Linked DNA regions of Coturnix japonica. The protein of the gene in region 1 interacts with the protein of each later gene in a pairwise test. Links are inferred from orthologs where the notes say so. Each region holds a gene or a part of one and is shown in the gene's direction. Other genes may lie near its edges.

Region 1 (6,117 bases):
CCCCCGCGCGCCCCCGCTCTGCTCCGCGCTTTGTCCGCGCTCTACGCGGCGGCGGCGTCGCACCGGGAGCTGGACGTGCGGGTCCTGCTGGGCCACGGACACCGGCTGGCGCGGCCGCCCCGCGTGCTGCTCGCGGACGGCGGAGCCGGCGACGCGGGGCCGGTCCGGGTGGCGCTGCGGGAATTGGCCGCCGCCGCCTACGGCTGCCCGGCCGAGCTGCCCGCGGTGCTGCTCAGCGGCTCGGACGGACCCGAGGCGCCGCACGACGGCCCCGGCGCGGAGCTGCCCGTCTACTCCGACGTGGTGGTCGGCGGCACCTTCGATCGGCTGCACGGCGCCCACCGGCTGCTGCTCAGCGCCTGCTGCCTGCTGGCACGGCGGAGGCTGCTGGTCGGGGTGGCCGACGGGGAACTGCTGCGCCGTGAGTGCTGCGGGAAGCGGGGCCGGGGGGCAGCGGGGAACGGGACGGGACGGCGGTGGGGGCTGAGGGCCGCCCCTGGGCCGGGGTATGGGACAGTGTCCGGGTAGCTCAGAGCGCTCGGGGGCTGCTGGCAGGAGGGATGTGGGTCAGCACCGGTGGCGGGCACTGATCACAGGGACAGCCCAGGTCCTGCAGCTGCTGTCCTGCACAGTCCAGGGCCCTGTGGGCAGGATGGTGGTGGGGCACTGCTGGAGGGTTCCTACCATAGAACCGTTTGCTCTGCTGCTCTCACTGTTCCGTCGCGGTGCTGCTGCAGACAAAGTCCTGCGGGAGCTGATCGAGCCCTACGAGCTGCGGGTGGCCAAACTGCGGGAGTTCCTGGCAGATGTGCAGCCCTCGGTGCTGTACGACATCGTGCCTCTGGGCGACCCCTACGGCCCCGCAATCACCGACCCGGAGCTGCGCTGCATCGTGGTCAGCGAGGAGACACGCAAGGGAGGGGAGGCCGTGAACAAGAAGAGGATCGAGAACGTAACTGGAGGATCTGAGACCTCTGGGCCCCGTGGTTACATCTGGGGGGCTCAGTGGTGTCCCCTCCCGGCAGGGCCTCGCCGCACTGGAGCTCTTTGAGATCGAGCTGATGGAGGATCCCCAACACAGCCTCAGTGAGGAGGAGAAGATCAGCTCCTCCAGCCTGCGACAGCGGCTGCTCGGCACGTTGCTGCGGCCCCCACGGGTAGGGGGAGCTGCCGGGGGCTGGGAGCTGCGGGACCACCGCCCGTCTGACCCTTCCTTCCCCAGGACAGCCCCACGCTGCCCCCCCGCCCCTACATCATCGGTCTGACCGGGGGCAGCGGGAGCGGGAAGACCTCGATCGCCCGCCGCCTGGGGCAGATGGGAGCGTTCATCATCGATGCTGATGCACTGGGCCACGCTGTGTACCTGCCCGGCAGCCCGGCCCACGGGCAAGTGGTGGCTGCGTTTGGGGCAGGTGGGGCTGGGTGTGCTGCGGCACCGGCGCTGTGCCGGGACACGCTGTGCAGGTGAGTTGGATTCTTTCTGCTCCCAAATCACCTCCCTCTGTCTTGCAGAAATCTTGAACAAAGACGGGACGATCAACAGGAAGATCCTCGGGGCAAAAGTGTTTGGAAACCAGGTACGAGCAGCACAGGGAATGTCAATATTTAACCTCATGAGCAGAGAACTCTGTGCTGGCGCTTTGATTTCCAGCCCTTTGAGCTGATGCCACGTCCCTGTGCAGTAGCACACAGTAAATCAGCGGCTGTGCAGGATCCACATCCAGGCAGCAGCTGCTGTTGCTCCTCCAGCTGTGGCCCCCTCGTGGACCAACCTCTGGGAGGACCCTGACTCCGCTGCGGTTCCTTTCCAGGAGCGGCTGAAGAACCTCACAGACATCGTGTGGCCGGAGATCGCGCGGATGGTCAGGGAGCAGATCAGGGAGGCAGGAGCTCAAGGTACCGGGTGGCTCTGATTGTAGTGGGCGCTGCCGGCGCTGCCTGTGTCCGCCCGGTGACCAGGAACGGCCTCGTTCCGTAGGAAAAGCCGTGATGGTGCTGGATGCCGCCGTGCTGCTGGAGGCCGGATGGCAGGAGATGGTGCACGAGGTGTGGGCGGCCATCATCCCCGAGGACGAGGTGGGTGACTCCCCTCGGCCGCCCCGTGATCCCCGTGACCCCCCGTGACCCCCGTGATCCCCGTGACCCCCGTGATCGCCGTGATCCCCGTGATCGCCGTGACCCCCGTGATCGCCGTGACCCCCCGTCCCGTGCTGGTCCCGCAGGCGCTGAAACGCATCGTGAGCCGGGACGGGCTGAGCGAGGAGGCGGCGCGTGACCGGCTGCGGAGTCAGATGAGCGACGGGCAGCGGGTGCGGGAGGCGCATGTTGTGCTGAGCACCGCGTGGGAGCCCGACGTCACCCACAAACAGGTGAGAACGGGCCGCTGTAACGGGCCGGTGTAACGGCGCCGAGCCCCGCACGAAGCTGCTGACGGTGCCCGTTGTCAGGTGGAGAAGGCGTGGGAGCTGCTGCAGCGCCGCATCCACCGCGCGGCCACCGCAACGAGCAGCTGAACCGCAACGGGACCGAGAGGAGCCGGGACCGGGAGCGAACGGAGCGAACGGAGCGAACGGAGCCGCACAACGCGCCGGGACGGACCGGAAGCGCCGCGGCCCCGACCGGGCGGGTACGGCCCGTGCTCGGCACGGCGGGCGCTGCCGGTTCCGCGCCGTGATCCCGCAGCCGAGCGGCGGTTAAAGGGCGGTCGCAGTTTCCCGGTGTCCGTGCTGTTTGTGTCCCGTTGGTCCCGTTGTTCCCGTTGTTCCCGTTGTCCCCACGTGGCGCCCCCTCGCGGTCGGGAGGGCGGCGCTTCCCGGCGTCCCCCGCGGCTCCCACGTGACCGGGGCGGGGGAAGATGGCGGAGCCGCCCGGTGCCGCGGCGGAGGAAGCGTGGGGGAAGGTAACGGGGCGGCGGTCGGACCGTGGGGCCGAGGCCCGGAGCGCCACCATCCGCCCCGTGACCGCCGCCCTCCGCCCGCAGGTGGACGCCGCGTACGGGGACAATGTCCCGGAGCCCGGTAGGTGCCGGGGGGGGCGGTTCGATGGCGGGTGGCGGATGGGGCGGCTCCGCTGAGCGGCTCCCGCTGTCCCGCAGCGCTCGGTACGGACAGGAAGGGCAGCGTCGTGTCCCGCGCCAACAGCATCGGATCCACCAGCGCCTCGTCCGTGCCCAACACCGGTACGAACGGGGGCACCGGGCTGGAGCGGGGCGGGCGCGGGGCAACCGGGGACGGCGGCGTCCGGGGGGGCCCGTCCCGACCCGCGCTCAGCGCCGCTGTGTCCGCAGACGACGAGGACAGCGATTACCCGCAGGAGTTTTACAAGGAGTCCTACAAGGACCAGCGGCGCCGGGCGCACACGCAGGCGGAGCAGAAGCGGCGCGATGCCATCAAGGTCGGTGGGCGCCGCGCCGCGTTCCAGCCCCTCGTCCCGTGCTGGATCCGCTCCATGAGCCGCGTGTGGCTGGAGCCGCTTTGGCCGCGTGGTGGGAGCTGGGCTGTGGGTCCGTGTAACCGCTGCCGTTTGTGCCTGTTCTGCTCCCTCTGCCCCTGCAGAAAGGCTACGACGACCTGCAGGCCATCGTGCCCACCTGCCAGCAGCAGGACTTCGCCATCGGCTCCCAGAAGCTGAGCAAGGCCGTCATCCTGCAGAAGAGTGAGTGTGTGCAGGAGGCAGCAGGGCACGATCCGACCCTCAGGCACCTCAATGTGGTGATTGTGTGTGATGGTGCCTCGGGGACCGACCTCAGGGAGGTCAGAGGGGCCCCATGTGCTGCTTACTCTGTGTTTTTGTGTTCAGCCATTGATTACATTCAGTTCCTGCACAAGGAAAAGAAGAAGCAAGAAGAGGAAGTTTCTACTCTCAGGAAAGACGTGATGGCCTTGAAGATAATGAAAGTGTAAGTAAGAAGTTATTTGGTTGCTGCCCCCTTCTTCCTGCTGTTTTTCCCCATGTCCCTGCAAAGCTCCCCCGATGTGCTCAGTGCTCTGTGTGCAGTCTGGCACCTGGGGTCGTACCAAATTGCCTCCAGTTCTGAAGCTGTTTTCAGTGTCCAGTTACTGGCAGCAGCTTCTGCCCCCGCTGTCGCCCAGCTGCTGTGCAGTACGAGGCTTCGATAGCACTGAGCCCCAAACTTGGTGTTTCAGGAACTATGAGCAGATCGTAAAAGCTCACCAGGACAACCCGAGTGAGGGGAAGGACCAGGTCTCTGACCAGGTGAAATTCAACGTTTTCCAAGGCATTATGGATTCCCTCTTTGAGTCCTTTAATGCCTCCATCTCAGTCACGAGTTTTCAAGAGCTGTCAGCATGTGTCTTCAGCTGGATTGAGGAGCACTGTAAGCCCCATGTGAGTACAGCAGACACAGGGGGGTTGATATAAGAGCAGAGGCTGTTGTGTATGGCTGCACCTGTCTGGAGTGTAGGCCTGTGTGCAGCTTTTCTTTCGCCTGGGCCTTCAGAAAGGCAGAATGTGGCTGACACTGGACCTGGGGCATGGGAGCTTGGGTTCCTCTCATTTCCCAGCTGCTTGGCAGTGAAATTCAGACACTGAAAAACAGAGCTTACAAAGAGGGTGCTTGTTCCCCAGCACTTTGTTCCATAAGACACTTAGAAGTTAGGAGGGAAGAGAATGAGCTGCATGGGCAGGGCCAGGTCCTTGTTGTGCTGTGGCTGCCTGGAGCCCTGCAGCCTGAGAACACAGACAGGCGATCGTTTCCCATACAGGTGCTGAGATCTGTGGCACCAGGTGCTGTCTGTAGCATTGAGCATGGGAAAGGCTTTTCCTCCCCTGAACAACTGACTGTGTCTCCTCTCTGCCCCAGACCCTACGGGACATTGTCATCGGGGTCCTGCACCAGGTGAAGAGTCAGCTGTACTGAGCATCCCTCGCTGGAGCACCTCCCGACCGGGTGACAGCTGCCAGGAGAGGCTGGACCATCTCCCTTGTGCTGGTCCTTAAAGCTTCTTCGATTATTTATTGTCACTACAAAACCAAACCAAAGCTGTGCAAACAGGTACTGTCACAGTCAACGTTACCAAATACTGCTAAGGACTTAGTGAAGGGAAAGAAATAAGTGTGTATTGAATATAGATCTTTTAAGTTGCCAGTGTCTTTAGCTCAGGCAGGTGGTTGCAGTTGGGTTTATCTGTGCCACTGATTTCAGGGCTGCAGCTCAGCAGGTGAATCTGCTCTGTAACCTCACACCTGATATAAACCCTATTGAACCTGGGAGCAGGGAGAAATAGGAGAGTGCTAAAAGCTGTTGCTGTGCTAATGCAGCTCAGGAATAGGGTTATTCTGCAGCTGCAGGTTTTCAATACCTCCCTCTGAAGCAGCTCTTAGAAAAGCAAGAGTCTGCTTTTAATTTCTGTAGCTGCTTTGGAGAAGGCCCGGGAGAACTGAGGGCAGGTTTATTAGCATGTCACTGCCAGGGCAATGCTCATTACATGGAGCAGCAAGCGAGCTCTGTGCTGAAGGAGTGCCCTGGGGCCTCGCTGTGCTGACTCTTCAGTAACACCCCTGAATGGGAAAGGAGTGAACTTTCATTGCAGCCTTTTCCTCCTTGTTCTGATGAGTGCTGAATTGGGCCTGGCTTTATCTTTTTCTGGGTTGTGATGTGGCCACACTGAACAGGAAAGTTCAGTAGCTGCAGCACAGCATTACTCTGAGTTCACACTGCTGTTCCTTAGCACCATGATTTTATGTGGGTATATATATTTATATACATGTAACCAGCCTTGATTTTATTTTATAGATCACTGAAATCATTGTAAAGTGTAATCAATGCCAGTTTTGCAGTGTCTCACTTGCCACACGCTGCTGCTGTCAGTGTGAATCAGCAAACCAAGCACAATGATGGCATTGGACAGCATCACCCTCCATGGCATTGACACATACAGCAGGACTTGTTCTCTAGTCGTGTTCTTGCTACCACTCCAACAGTAGCAACTATTTATTTTATGTTGTTTTTCCACTGTAGATGAGGTAATGCTAAGTTTCTCAGCTCCGGGTTGCTTGATTTTTGAATGCTGCAGCTGGAGATGGTTGAAGCTGTTGCTTCTGTTTGACTTAAATGAAGAAAAGCTTTTTGGTGGGGTTGATTTTTAGATGAAATTG
Region 2 (5,908 bases), on another chromosome or scaffold:
TGTGATAAAACAGCACTGCTGGGAAGGGGGGGAGATAAAACAGCATCTCAGAGTCCAGGTTGTCTATGGGCACAGTGAGGAGCTGATCTGTTCCTTCTCCTCTCCCCCACAGACAGTACATGAACAGAAAAGGAGGATTCAACAGACCATTGGATTTCATCGCTTGACGCTGCACGGAGCAGCTCTGCCTTGTTCACACACCTCAAAGGTGGGACAGGACTCCGTCACTCCATCCTCAAAGGGATTTTGGGGTCATTTAGAGCAAATCCGGGTGCTCTCGCTCTGCCCTGCACCGAGGGAGGGTGAACTGAAGCTCATCGATCTCGGCTCCGTTTGCTCCTCGCCAGGATTTCCTGCTGGTTCTATTGGTTGTTGTGTTATTTTTTTTACCAGCTCAGCATCGTCTGATTCAAACCCATCGATATTTTTCCCTTTCCTTTCTGGTTCATCCCCAATCTCCCTTTATTATAACATCACTCAGGAATAAAGTCAGCGAGAAAACGCTGCTGGAAAACCCACCCAACAGCTGATCCCCAACTCAACCTTTGGGATTTGAGCTGAACAAACTCACTTTGCTGCTTCTTTGTGTGTTCAATGGGTCACCCCAGGGTTGGGCAGGGATTCCAACCCAAACCTTGGGCAGGGATTCCCCCCATACAGGGATTCCCATCTCAGCTCTATGTTCCCTCAACCCCAGGAGGTGGCAGCACAGCCCTACAGCCAACATTGCTTTCAACCCCATCTCAATCAGCACATAAACCTCCCAGCGATGCTTTAAGATGAGGACATGCGGATCCAGCCCGGAGCTGAGCTTTTTGCTATGAGTTTTATGGGGTTTTGTGCTATTTTAGGGCAGGTTTGACTTAGTAAATCCAGCCCTTATTGGTGCCGGTGACTCACCCGGGCTGTCAGTGCCATACGGGGCTGTGTTGGTGCCCTGTCATCACTGCGACACGCCTGGAGCCCTGCGATAAGGCCCCGCTGCCAGACAGGGAATTCCCAACCCCCCCATCCCATCATTTCCTTTATCTCTGTGCTAATTAAACCTCATTAAACCAACCTGCTCAAAATGAGGAGAAAAAAGCCCATTTGTTTGGCCACACTTAGATGTGATGGGTGCTTTCATGAAGCCCCCAGCCCAATCCCCCCCCATTCACCCCCAAACCCCCCCAGCCGTGTTCTGCTGTTCAATGGGGTTCTATTTAGGGCCGCTGCATTGGGGGCGTGTTCCCCTTTTGACCCCCCCCCCCCATTAACACACACCCAGGTTTATCTGGTTTCCGTGCTGGGGGGGTGAGTCACCCCAGGGCAGGGCTGGGTTTCGGGGTGTGGGGAGGAAACAGCCTCCCCCCCCCCAAAAAAAAAAACCCAATTCCATCCCATTGGGCTCTATGGGGTGTGGGGGGGGTCCCTGCTGTGGGGTGAAGGGCGGCACCTTTGGGTGCTGGGGGAGGACTATAGGGGTCCCAGTTAATAGGGGTGGCTGCTTATAGGGGCTGCCTGTTTCTTATAGGGGCTGCCTGTTTCCTATAGGGGCTGCCTGTTCCTTATAGGGGCTGCCAGTTTCCTATAGGGGCTGCCTGTTCCTTATAGGGGCTGCCTGTTTCCTATAGGGGCTGCCTGTTACTTATAGGGGCTGCCTGTTACCTATAGGGGCTGCTTGTTCCTTATAGGGGCTGCCTGTTACCTATAGGGGCTGCCTGTTACCTATAGGGGATGCCTGTTACTTATAGGGGCTGCCTGTTCCTTATAGTGGCTGCCTGTTTCCTATAGGGGCTGCCTGTTACTTATAGGGGCTGCCTGTTTCTTATAGGGGCTGCCTGTTACTTATAGGGGCTGCCTGTTACCTATAGGGGCTGCCTGTTTCCTATAGGGGGCTCCTGGTTCCTATGGGGTCTCCATCCTTTATGGGGTCCCCCCATACCGGGGTCCGGGGGGTCCCGGCCCTACAGCCCCACGTTGACACTTGGCCACGCCCCCTCGCCCTCTTCTCGCCCTCCCATTGGCTGCGGGAGGCAGGAAGTGAGTCAGCCCCGTTGGCGGCTCGTCCAATCACAGCGCGCCTTCCCGGAGGGCCCGTCTGATCGGCGACAGCGGGGAGGGGGCGGGGCTTCCATCGGGGCCGAGCCAATGGCGGAAAGGCGTGTCTCACAGCCAACCAATGGCGAAAAGAGACGGTGGGGCGGCATCCAATGAGAGGCGGCGGTGGGCGGAGTCGGCGGAGCGGCCGGGCGAGGAGCTCAACCCGGCCCGGCCCGGCCCGGCCCCGCAGCAGCGGAGATGGCGGCGGGCGGAACCGACGGGGCCGGTGTCGGGTCCGGTATCGGGTCCGGTATCGGGTCCGGTGTCGGGTCCGGTATCGGGTCCGGTATCGGGTCCGGTATCGGGTCCGGTGTCGGGTCCGGTATCGGGTCCGGTATCGGGTCCGGTATCGGGTCCGGTGTCGGGTCCGGTATCGGGTCCGGTATCGGGTCCGGTATCGGGTCCAGTATCGAGCTGCTCCTGGAGGCTGCCGAGTACCTGGAGCGTCGGGAGCGAGGTACCGGTATTACACCGTGTGTCCCCCCCCCCCGGTTCGTCCCGGTGCCGCCCGGCGCTGCCCGCTCCCGTTGTGTCCCCACAGAGGCCGAACACGGCTACGCCTCCACGATGCCCGGACATGGAGCAGCGCGAAGGGACAGAACGAGGAGCAGGAACGGCCGGAGGAACGGAGGGGGCGGAAGGTAACGGGAGGGGGGAGGGGGGCAATGGGGGCACATAGAGACCCATAGAGACCCATAGAAACCCATAGAGAACCATTGGGACCCATAGAGACCCATAGAGAACCATTGGGACCCATAGAAACCCTATAGAGAACCATTGAGACCCATAGAAACCAGATAGAGACTCCATATAGACACATAGGAACACATAGAGACCCATAGGGACCCATAGAGACCCATAAGGACCCATAGAAACCCATAGGGACCCATAGAGACCCATAGGGACCCATAGAGACCCATAGGGACCCATAGGGACCCATAGAGACCCATAGGGACCCATAGGGACCCATAGGGACCCATAGAAACCCATAGGGACCCATAGAGACCCATTGGGACCCATAGAGACCCATAGGGACACATAGGGACCCATAGAGACCCATAGGGATCCATAGGGACCCATAGAGACCCATAGAGACCCATAGGGACCCATAGGGACCCATAGAGACCCATAGGGACCCATAGAGACCCATAAGGACCCATAGAGACCCATAGGGACCCATAGAGACCCATAAGGACCCACAGAGACCCATAGAGACCCATAGGGACCCATAGAGACCCATAGGGACCCATAGAGACCCATAGGGACCCATAGAGACCCCATAGGGACCCATAGAGACCCATAGGGACCCATAGGGACCCATAGAGACCCATAGGGACCCATAGAGACCCATAGGGACCCATAGAGACCCATAGGGACCCATAGGGACCCATAGAGACCCATAGAGACCCATAGAGACACATAGGGACACATAGAGACCCATAGGGACCCATAGGGACCCATAGAGACCCATAGGGACCCATAGAGACCCATAGGGACCCATAGAGACTCATAGGGACCTATTGGGACCAATAGGGACCCAAAGAGAGACATAGAGACCCCATAGAAACCCATGGAGACCCCATAGGGATCCATAGGGACACCGCTGTCAGCCGGGGGTCAGCAGCTGTCACAGGGCTCCGGGCTGGGGGGACGTGGAAGCAGAGGGCACTGCCTGCACCAGGAGATTGGGATCTATTGGGGCCTGTTGAAATCCCATTGCCATGGGGGGGCTGTGGGCTGTGGGGACCTTTGGGGACGCCGCTGTCATGGGATGCTCAGTCTATGAGGATTCCATGTCACAGTGCACACAGCTGAAGGTGCAGTCACACAACGTGGCAGGCAGAGATGCTGACACTGAGCTCTTGATTTCGGCCTTTGCTTTGGATGTTGCCTTGGTGTGGTTCTTGTGCCCAGGTTCCATTTGGGGGCTCTTAAAGTGGCAGATGAGATTCAGATCCAAACCCCCACAATGGGGAGGAGAGATTGTGCCCCTAAATGTGACCCATGGCCAATTCCTGCCGCCCCTCCCGGCTCCTTCCTGCTGTTTGCTCAGGGAGGAGCAGCTCTGCCATCTCAGGGCACGGCACCACGTCCTGCTCCGGATCACGTCGCATGGGGACGGGTGACCTTTGCCAGCTGTGACAGCAGGACGTCCCCGTCCCGTCAGCGAGCGCCCAGAGGTTCCTTAATGGGGAGATAAGGAGCTTCGTTCCTCACTTTAACATTGCTCACAAGGAATGGGAGCAGCAGGACTCGTGCTTTGGGGCTGCTGGTTGTACCTTAGAGATGCGCTGGAGTTGTGCTCTGCTCAGTTTGGGGTTGGTGTTGGGATGAGGAGAGCTTCCCCTTCCTGTGTGGTGCTGCTCAGCGCTGGTTGGGCCCCTTTGCTTCCTCCTCTCCTTTACAACCACTCACCCGGGGGGGTGTGTTGGGTGCTGCTGCCATCCTGTGCTGTTGGTGCTGCTTTGTGCTCCCCATAACCAGCAGCGAGCCGTCCCCATCCCAACCACCTCAGTGGGGTCTCCCTGACACTGCCATCTCTCTGGGTATCTCTCCCTATCCATCCCTATGCCACCACATTTATCATCCTGGGTGCAGTGACCCCTCTGCAGACCCCCCCCCTGCTGTCTGTCGTCCTCCTGGAGCCGAGCATTTCACAAAGTCCTCTTTCTTTTTCAGGTCGACTCACAATGAGATGGAAAAGAACAGGTGAGAATGGGCCGGGACCCACACGGGATCTCTTCTCATTGCACATCAGGGCTGCCCCTCTCCTATTCCAGAAGGAGCCGTGCCATGCTGTGCCCCTGGTACTGCTTAGTGCCCACCTGGGGCAGGCAGCTGGAATTTCCCTGTGGCATTTTCACCCCCTAGAAAGGGGTTTAAATCACACACCTCCCCCTGCTGAGCTGCTGGGGTGCAGCCCAGCCTGATGGAAAACAACCTGAGTGAGGGCTCAGCTCAGTTTGGGATTGACCCCAGCAGCACAAGCGCGTGTTTTGTTGGCAGTGTCATGCAGGAGGCACTCAGTGCAGGCAAATGCCTGTTTATTCGCATGCGGAACGAGATAGGCAGGTCGTTGCAACATCCCCATCTGCCCTGAGTGTGTCAGTGGGGTACGGCACAGGAGGTGTTGCAATGGGAACGGAACCGGAATATACTGAGCATGGGGCATCCTGCGCTGCAGGAGGGAGCGTGGAGTGCTGCACGTTGCCTGCTCCTGACCCAGAGGAGGCTCGAGGGCCGTGCTGTGTTTGCAGCCCTGTGCTGGATGTAGCTGGAGCAGTTTTATTTTGCTGTTCCTGCGCTGATATAGAGGTCAAGATGCTGCGTGGTGTTGGGGCACACTGAGCATCTGATGGTTTTCTTGCAGGCGTGCCCACCTGCGGCTGTGTTTGGAGAAGCTGAAGGTGCTGGTGCCGCTCGGCCCCGAATCCAGCAAGCACACCACGCTGAGTTTACTCATGAAAGCCAAATTGCACATCAAGGTGAGTCTGGCTGCACCAGAAGTTTCTGAGGGAGGGCTCAGACAAAGCTTTTCCAAAGCCCTCAGCCTCGCTCCTGCTCTGTTGGCACCATGTGGCTTCCTGGTGTGTTGACTGCTTTATGGTTTGCCCTTTACACTGTGACTCTCACTGAGCACATTTGGTTTTATGAAGCAGCAGATAACCATGGCGGCACGGCGGGACTCAGCCTGCGTGCCACTGGTGCCTTATCAAGGCCTGGAAATAGAGAAAAGGGATAGAGAAAAGCACTGCATAGAAACCATTCAGAGGAGGGAGCATTGTTAGTGTGCCAGCTCTCTGCTATGGGGTTGTATCAGCAGCAG
Region 3 (5,343 bases), on another chromosome or scaffold:
TCACTCATGGGCACAGCCGTCACTTTCAGAATTGTCCTTCCCTTCTGGGAAATGGAAATGAAAGAGATACTCACGCCTGCAGCAGAGTGTTCCTGCATGCCCTGCGTGGACTCTGCTCCGGATTTCAGGCAGGAGCTAAACTGCACAAACTGTTGGGAGTGAAATCATCAGCTCCTTTTTAGCAGAGCTGGCAGCTTTGTGCAGAACATCCCTACAGCAAACCCCAGCCTGTGCTGCAGGATGCAGCCCTGCTGCAGGGGCACAGCCCTAGCAGAGGCAGGGCTCAGGAGTAAGGGTTGGAGCCCACAGGGTGGGCATCCTGTATCACAGCAGCTTCGTCCCTGTCGTGGTGGTGAGGCTTCATCAGAACCCTCAGCACAGCCACTGCTGCTGCTCCCAGTGGGAGCAGTGGCTCAGATGGCAGCTGTAGACCCTCAGCCGTCCCAGATGCAGGTGCCTCTGCTTTGTGGCATTCCAGACCTGCAGAGACAGGTGGTTGGCCACTTGGATGAATTTCTTTATTGAAGTTTTGTTCCTAATTTTGTTTGATGTAGTTCTGGTGGTCTCCTCTGCACATTCCACCTGTAGGTTCCAATTCTGTTGGCAGATCCCAAAGACAGTATGATTGCTGCTTATTTTAAAGATAAATGTAACTACTGTGACAGTGGGTTGGTTTGGGGTTTTTTTTGCATAGAGTTGTTCTGTTGTGATACGACTGCTGTTGTAAGAAATTCTTGTGCTTTGCATTGTAACAGCCCTTGGAACAAGTGTGAGGGTCTGGCTTCAGCCATGAGTATGTCCAGGAGCCTTTATCACCACATACACGTGTGGAACAATCACTTCCTATAAGTGTCAGATTTCTGTCTCTTCCTGACTTATGTGCTGACCAACTTGAGCTTACAGAAATGCACTGTCATCACATGTAGACCTTTTTGAGTTTGTGTCCCAGAAGCTTGTCATTTGTTCCTAACTGCTGTTAGTTGGTTTAGTAAAAGATGCTATCTGTTCCTCTGCACTTTGTCTTTGAAGTACTTCAATTTGTCTGTGGTTTTGTCATCCCACATAAGAGCCGAGTTTTCTGCACTGCGCTTCTTTCTCATTGCAAGGATGTGGGGGATTCTCACCTTTCTCAAGCACTGGGCCAGCAGTTAGCTGCTCTGCAGGAGCACTGATCTGTGTACGTGCTTGCTTTCCTTAAGCACTCTTGGAAATAGATGTATGTGGTAGAAGCACATTCTCTCACCTGGCGATGAGGAGAAAGCTGCACCCATTGTGCTTCCTTCACACCTCTCCAGCAGTCTGCAGTAAGCCTTAATTCCCTTTACATTTCATGAGACAGGTGAGGTCAGGCTGATGTTCAGAACTGGTGCTAATCGCTGTCACTGTCGGCTGATGGTGAAGTTCTGCAGTTTTCCCGAGGTGTTCTGCACTGCTCCCCCTGGAGCTGAAGTGACTCACACCTGACCTGGTTAATCATTTCAGTTTTGAAGACTCAATAGTTTTCCTTCAGAAAGCAGAAAGCAGTTGGCCAAGGCAACTCTATAGGTTTTCATGACCAGCTCCTTTTCTTCCTGTGTGAACTTGGAAGTGATAACTATACCTGAACCCAGCATAACTAATAATAAAAGAAAACCGGCAACGAATGTGGCAATGACCAGGTTAGAATAGATTACATTTGGGTTTTTTTTCCTCCTTAGATTGTTTTTCTTTCCTTTGTTCTGCCTTTAGACTTTAAAGAGAAAGGAAAAAGAATATGAGCATGAGATGGAGCGGCTGGCGAGGGAAAAGATCGCTACCCAGCAGCGGCTGGCAGAACTGAAGAACGAGCTGAGCCAATGGATGGACATCATGGAGATCGACAGAATTGTTCGACAGACAGTTCAGCCAGAGGATGACCAGGCATCTACCTCCACAGCGTCAGGTACCCGCCATTTCTCTCTTCTTGTAACCATCATTGTGCACCATTGTAGTAGAGATGGCTGGTGGGGATATTCATTTAGACCATCACAGTTGCTTTGCATTCAGAATTAAGTAAAAGGATTTCAAGGATTTGTAGTTGGTGATGGTGGCCTAATAATATACTTGTGCAAAGTGCACTGGAAATCATGTATCAACCATGTTACATAAACACAAGGTGCAGTTTTGCACATTCGTTCTGGTGGTATCTTGCATGAAGCTCCTTGCTTTCAGAATGTAGTTTCCCTCCTGCACAGCTACACAGCCCTGCTCATGAAAACTGGTTGGTGTGTAAGTGTCCTAATGTATTTGTGCATGGAGGTAAGAAGGTGTTCAGCCACACAGAGAAGAAGGAATTGGTGCAGGAGTGTACATCTCGTACACTGCACAAGAAAGATTCACAGTGAAGATAAGCAATGCTAATGAAAATCAAGCATGCTATTGCAGTGAGAAGTTTTTGTGAGGTAGGAGGTACCAGTGACCTGCAGCAGGAAGAACAGGCAGTCATGGATGGACAGCACTGTACTTTCCAGAGATCAGAAGGCTGTAGCAGTTCCCAACTATTTGCAGCAGTTCCTTATAATAGCAGTGGCATTTGCTTGTGGTGCTCCAGGCAGATGGCACAGCAGGAACCCAGAAAGGGAAAACCTGAGCTTTCTGGTTCATTCAGATTCCTGTACTGGGCTCATCACCTTTGAACGTGCTCCAGACCATCTCCAAGCATAAGCTGGTGGAAGCTGAGAGTTGAGAGCCTTTGTAAATTGAGGCATCAAGCTGTTCACTTCTCCAGCTGCCTCTGCTGAAAATGATCTCTTCAAGCTACTACTGACCATGGGGCTTGCAAAAGGGAAGTGTCTTTCTTAGTTTTTTCTTCCTTCTGAGTTTTTTAATCTCTACTGTGTGCCTAGCGTTAGAGCAGGCAGAGCAGAGTGCCCTGCTGATGATCCTAATCTCCTTAAGGTCAGCATTGCCTCATTAATTTGTAGGCTCAATGGAGACTTTTTTTTCCAGAGCCAGACCAGTAAACTTGCTGCCACAGTTCTTCATCACTGTTTCCTTCCTGCTCTGGGAGCAGGAGTAGTTCCAGCTGACAGAACAACTTACCAGGAAAAGAAATCCTTCTCTCTGTGCAGAGGGTGCTTCTCAGTCCAGCTTCTGTCTGTCTGCCTCAGTTCAAGTTGCTTCTGTTGCCTGCCAAGTGGGATCTCCCAGTTTTTTGCGAGCACTTTGAGCTGAGCTGAATGGAGCCTGCTGTGCTGTGCTGTGCTGCTCTCACTCAGCTCAGTGACTCCTCCTGCTGTCCTCTCTGCTGCTTGTGCTGCCTTGCGGGAGTGGTCAGGTAGCCCAGGTTTTTTGTGTTTTTTTGTTTTTTTTTTTTAATGGGAGTTTCTTCATTTCATTCTTTTTCCAGAGGGTGAAGACAACATGGATGAAGACATGGAAGATGACAGGCCTGTAAACTCATTACCAAAACTAGCCCAGCGCCAGCACCCAGAGCTCCTGAAAGCCGTCCCTTCAAACACTGCTTCCCATCACCTGGCGGTTTTGCCTCAGCACCTGTCTATCCAGCAGAAACAACCCCCAGCCCACGCACAGCCTTCCATCCAGACACAAGCACTGGTTCAGCCGCAGGCGATTGTCCCAGCACAGACTCACATCGTGGCGGCTTCGACAGTGCAATCGACTGTTATTGCCCACACGGCCACTACCCACGCTTCGGTCATTCAGACTGTCAACCACGTCATTCAGGGTCCACAGACCAAGCACATTGCTCACATTGCACCTTCCACGTCCAGCCCTGTGCAACTTACCACTGCTGCTCAGCCTATCGGCCACATCACTGTGCACCCAGCCACCATCAACCACATGGCCCACCTCGGTCAGCAGCTGCCCATCTACCCTCAGCCCATGGCCGTCAGCCAGCCCGTGGTGAGCCACATCGCTCACACGATCTCTCACCAGCAAGTGAATGGAACCACAAGTCTTGGCCAGCAAGCGGTGATGGCCAAACCGGCCGTAGGAACCCAAGTTGTCCATCACCCGCAGTTAGTTGGACAGACAGTCCTAAACCCAGTAACTATGGTAACCATGCCATCATTCCCAGTGAGCACACTGAAGCTGGCCTAGAGAGAATCGTCCGAAGGTGAAGTCTTTGTTGGGAACCTTTCCTAAACTCCATACATTCCAACCACGCCTGACTCCACGGGAGGGAGGCGCAGAGCGGCAGGGCAGGGGGTGGGCCAGTCTGACCACCCAGCAGCCAGCCTGGCTATGGCCAGAGGGGGCCTCTCTGCGCTCGAGTTTTGTTAATCTGAGAAAACTTCAAAGACAGTTGTTCATGGTGATTTTTTTTCCTTTTATGTGTAATTGGTGAAATATGGTTATGATGTTCTTCAGACTTTAATTTTCCCCTTTTATGTGTTGCTTCTTTGTAGAATAAATCTGCTGATCTCTTTATTGAGATGTTGCGTAGAATGGGAAAAACAAAATCATAAAAGTCTATATTTATATATATGTGTGTATGTGTGTGTATATATATGTATATACATATATATATAAATATAACATTTGAAGAAGGCCTTTTGTAAGGGTGATTATTTTGCAGGATTATTAGTCAAAATTCAGTTTCGGAGGAAGAAGACACAGTGTCCTCTCTAAACAAGAAACTCAAAGTTAGATGGTTTGGTGGACCAGGGTACACATACAGTGACAAAAAAAAAGCAAATTGAACGTTTGAGGTATTTCCCATCAGTATATTACATTTCAAAAAACCATCTAAAATCACTGTGACTTGTTATGGCATTTTAAGGAAGTTCTCTGTCCTGTTTAATAAAAGGAAAAAGAATACACAACCGGACTTCATTTGTTGCAGTTTTATAAATGACTTGGTTTTTATAGCTATGTCAGAAAGGAAAAAAAGAGGAGTATTGTTTTTTGTTATTTTAATGGATGACAGTGTTCTGTTTGGATGCTTTGGGGGGGGTTTATTGTTTGGTTTGGTTTTGCTGATGCAATAATTGATTTTGCAGAACTGTTTCAGGATCCCTCGTGCCAGTCCCACGCCTTAGATTTTTCTGGGTTGTTTTTTGTTCTTGCAAAAGCAGATACTTTGTGCTGGCGACTTACAGTGCTTTTATGTGGCCTGATAACAGTGGAACTTGGGGCAAGAAGACCAATAGAAATCAAGTTGATCTGCTGCATGGTTTGCTTTTCTTTGTTAGTTTGTTCCTGAACAGACCACGTTTTAGTGTGGAAGTCACAGGATTAGAGAAGTGATAAACGTGCATGTGTTATCTTCCAAAGTGCAAGCAGTTTTTATACCTTATCTTTTTTGGGGAAAAAAATGTAGTCTTTTGTAGGAGAACAGTGTGAGCACTGATGGTGCTC

Evidence for each region.
Region 2: the proteins of MLX (region 1) and MXD1 interact in a two-hybrid assay, tested with the Homo sapiens proteins (2 studies listed by BioGRID and IntAct). The link is inferred for Coturnix japonica from reciprocal best matches to the Homo sapiens genes MLX and MXD1.
Region 3: the proteins of MLX (region 1) and MNT interact in a two-hybrid assay, tested with the Homo sapiens proteins (2 studies listed by BioGRID and IntAct). The link is inferred for Coturnix japonica from reciprocal best matches to the Homo sapiens genes MLX and MNT.

The regions. Positions count from the first base shown.
Region 1 is NC_029542.1:4,576,435-4,582,551, forward strand, and holds the start of MLX (max-like protein X), read left to right. Parts: upstream 1-2,738; 5' UTR 2,739-2,854; coding exon 2,855-2,899; intron 2,900-2,980; coding exon 2,981-3,017; intron 3,018-3,094; coding exon 3,095-3,178; intron 3,179-3,286; coding exon 3,287-3,393; intron 3,394-3,554; coding exon 3,555-3,654; intron 3,655-3,798; coding exon 3,799-3,898; intron 3,899-4,145; coding exon 4,146-4,347; intron 4,348-4,822; coding exon 4,823-4,879; 3' UTR 4,880-6,117. Other genes in the region: bifunctional coenzyme A synthase-like, read left to right, coding at 1-421, 738-952, 1,026-1,157, 1,223-1,412, 1,513-1,577, 1,812-1,896, 1,979-2,076, 2,223-2,369 and 1 more. UniProt on the Homo sapiens protein: Transcription regulator. Forms a sequence-specific DNA-binding protein complex with MAD1, MAD4, MNT, WBSCR14 and MLXIP which recognizes the core sequence 5'-CACGTG-3'. The TCFL4-MAD1, TCFL4-MAD4, TCFL4-WBSCR14 complexes are transcriptional repressors.
Region 2 is NC_029537.1:821,308-827,215, reverse strand, and holds the start of MXD1 (max dimerization protein 1), read left to right. Parts: upstream 1-2,211; 5' UTR 2,212-2,280; coding exon 2,281-2,539; intron 2,540-2,623; coding exon 2,624-2,723; intron 2,724-4,761; coding exon 4,762-4,791; intron 4,792-5,452; coding exon 5,453-5,567; intron 5,568-5,908. Other genes in the region: SNRNP27 (U4/U6.U5 small nuclear ribonucleoprotein 27 kDa protein), read left to right, coding at 113-167. UniProt on the Homo sapiens protein: Component of a transcriptional repressor complex together with MAX. In complex with MAX binds to the core DNA sequence 5'-CAC[GA]TG-3'. Antagonizes MYC transcriptional activity by competing with MYC for MAX binding.
Region 3 is NC_029534.1:8,115,181-8,120,523, reverse strand, and holds the end of MNT (max-binding protein MNT), read left to right. Parts: intron 1-1,728; coding exon 1,729-1,921; intron 1,922-3,367; coding exon 3,368-4,083; downstream 4,084-5,343. UniProt on the Homo sapiens protein: Binds DNA as a heterodimer with MAX and represses transcription. Binds to the canonical E box sequence 5'-CACGTG-3' and, with higher affinity, to 5'-CACGCG-3'.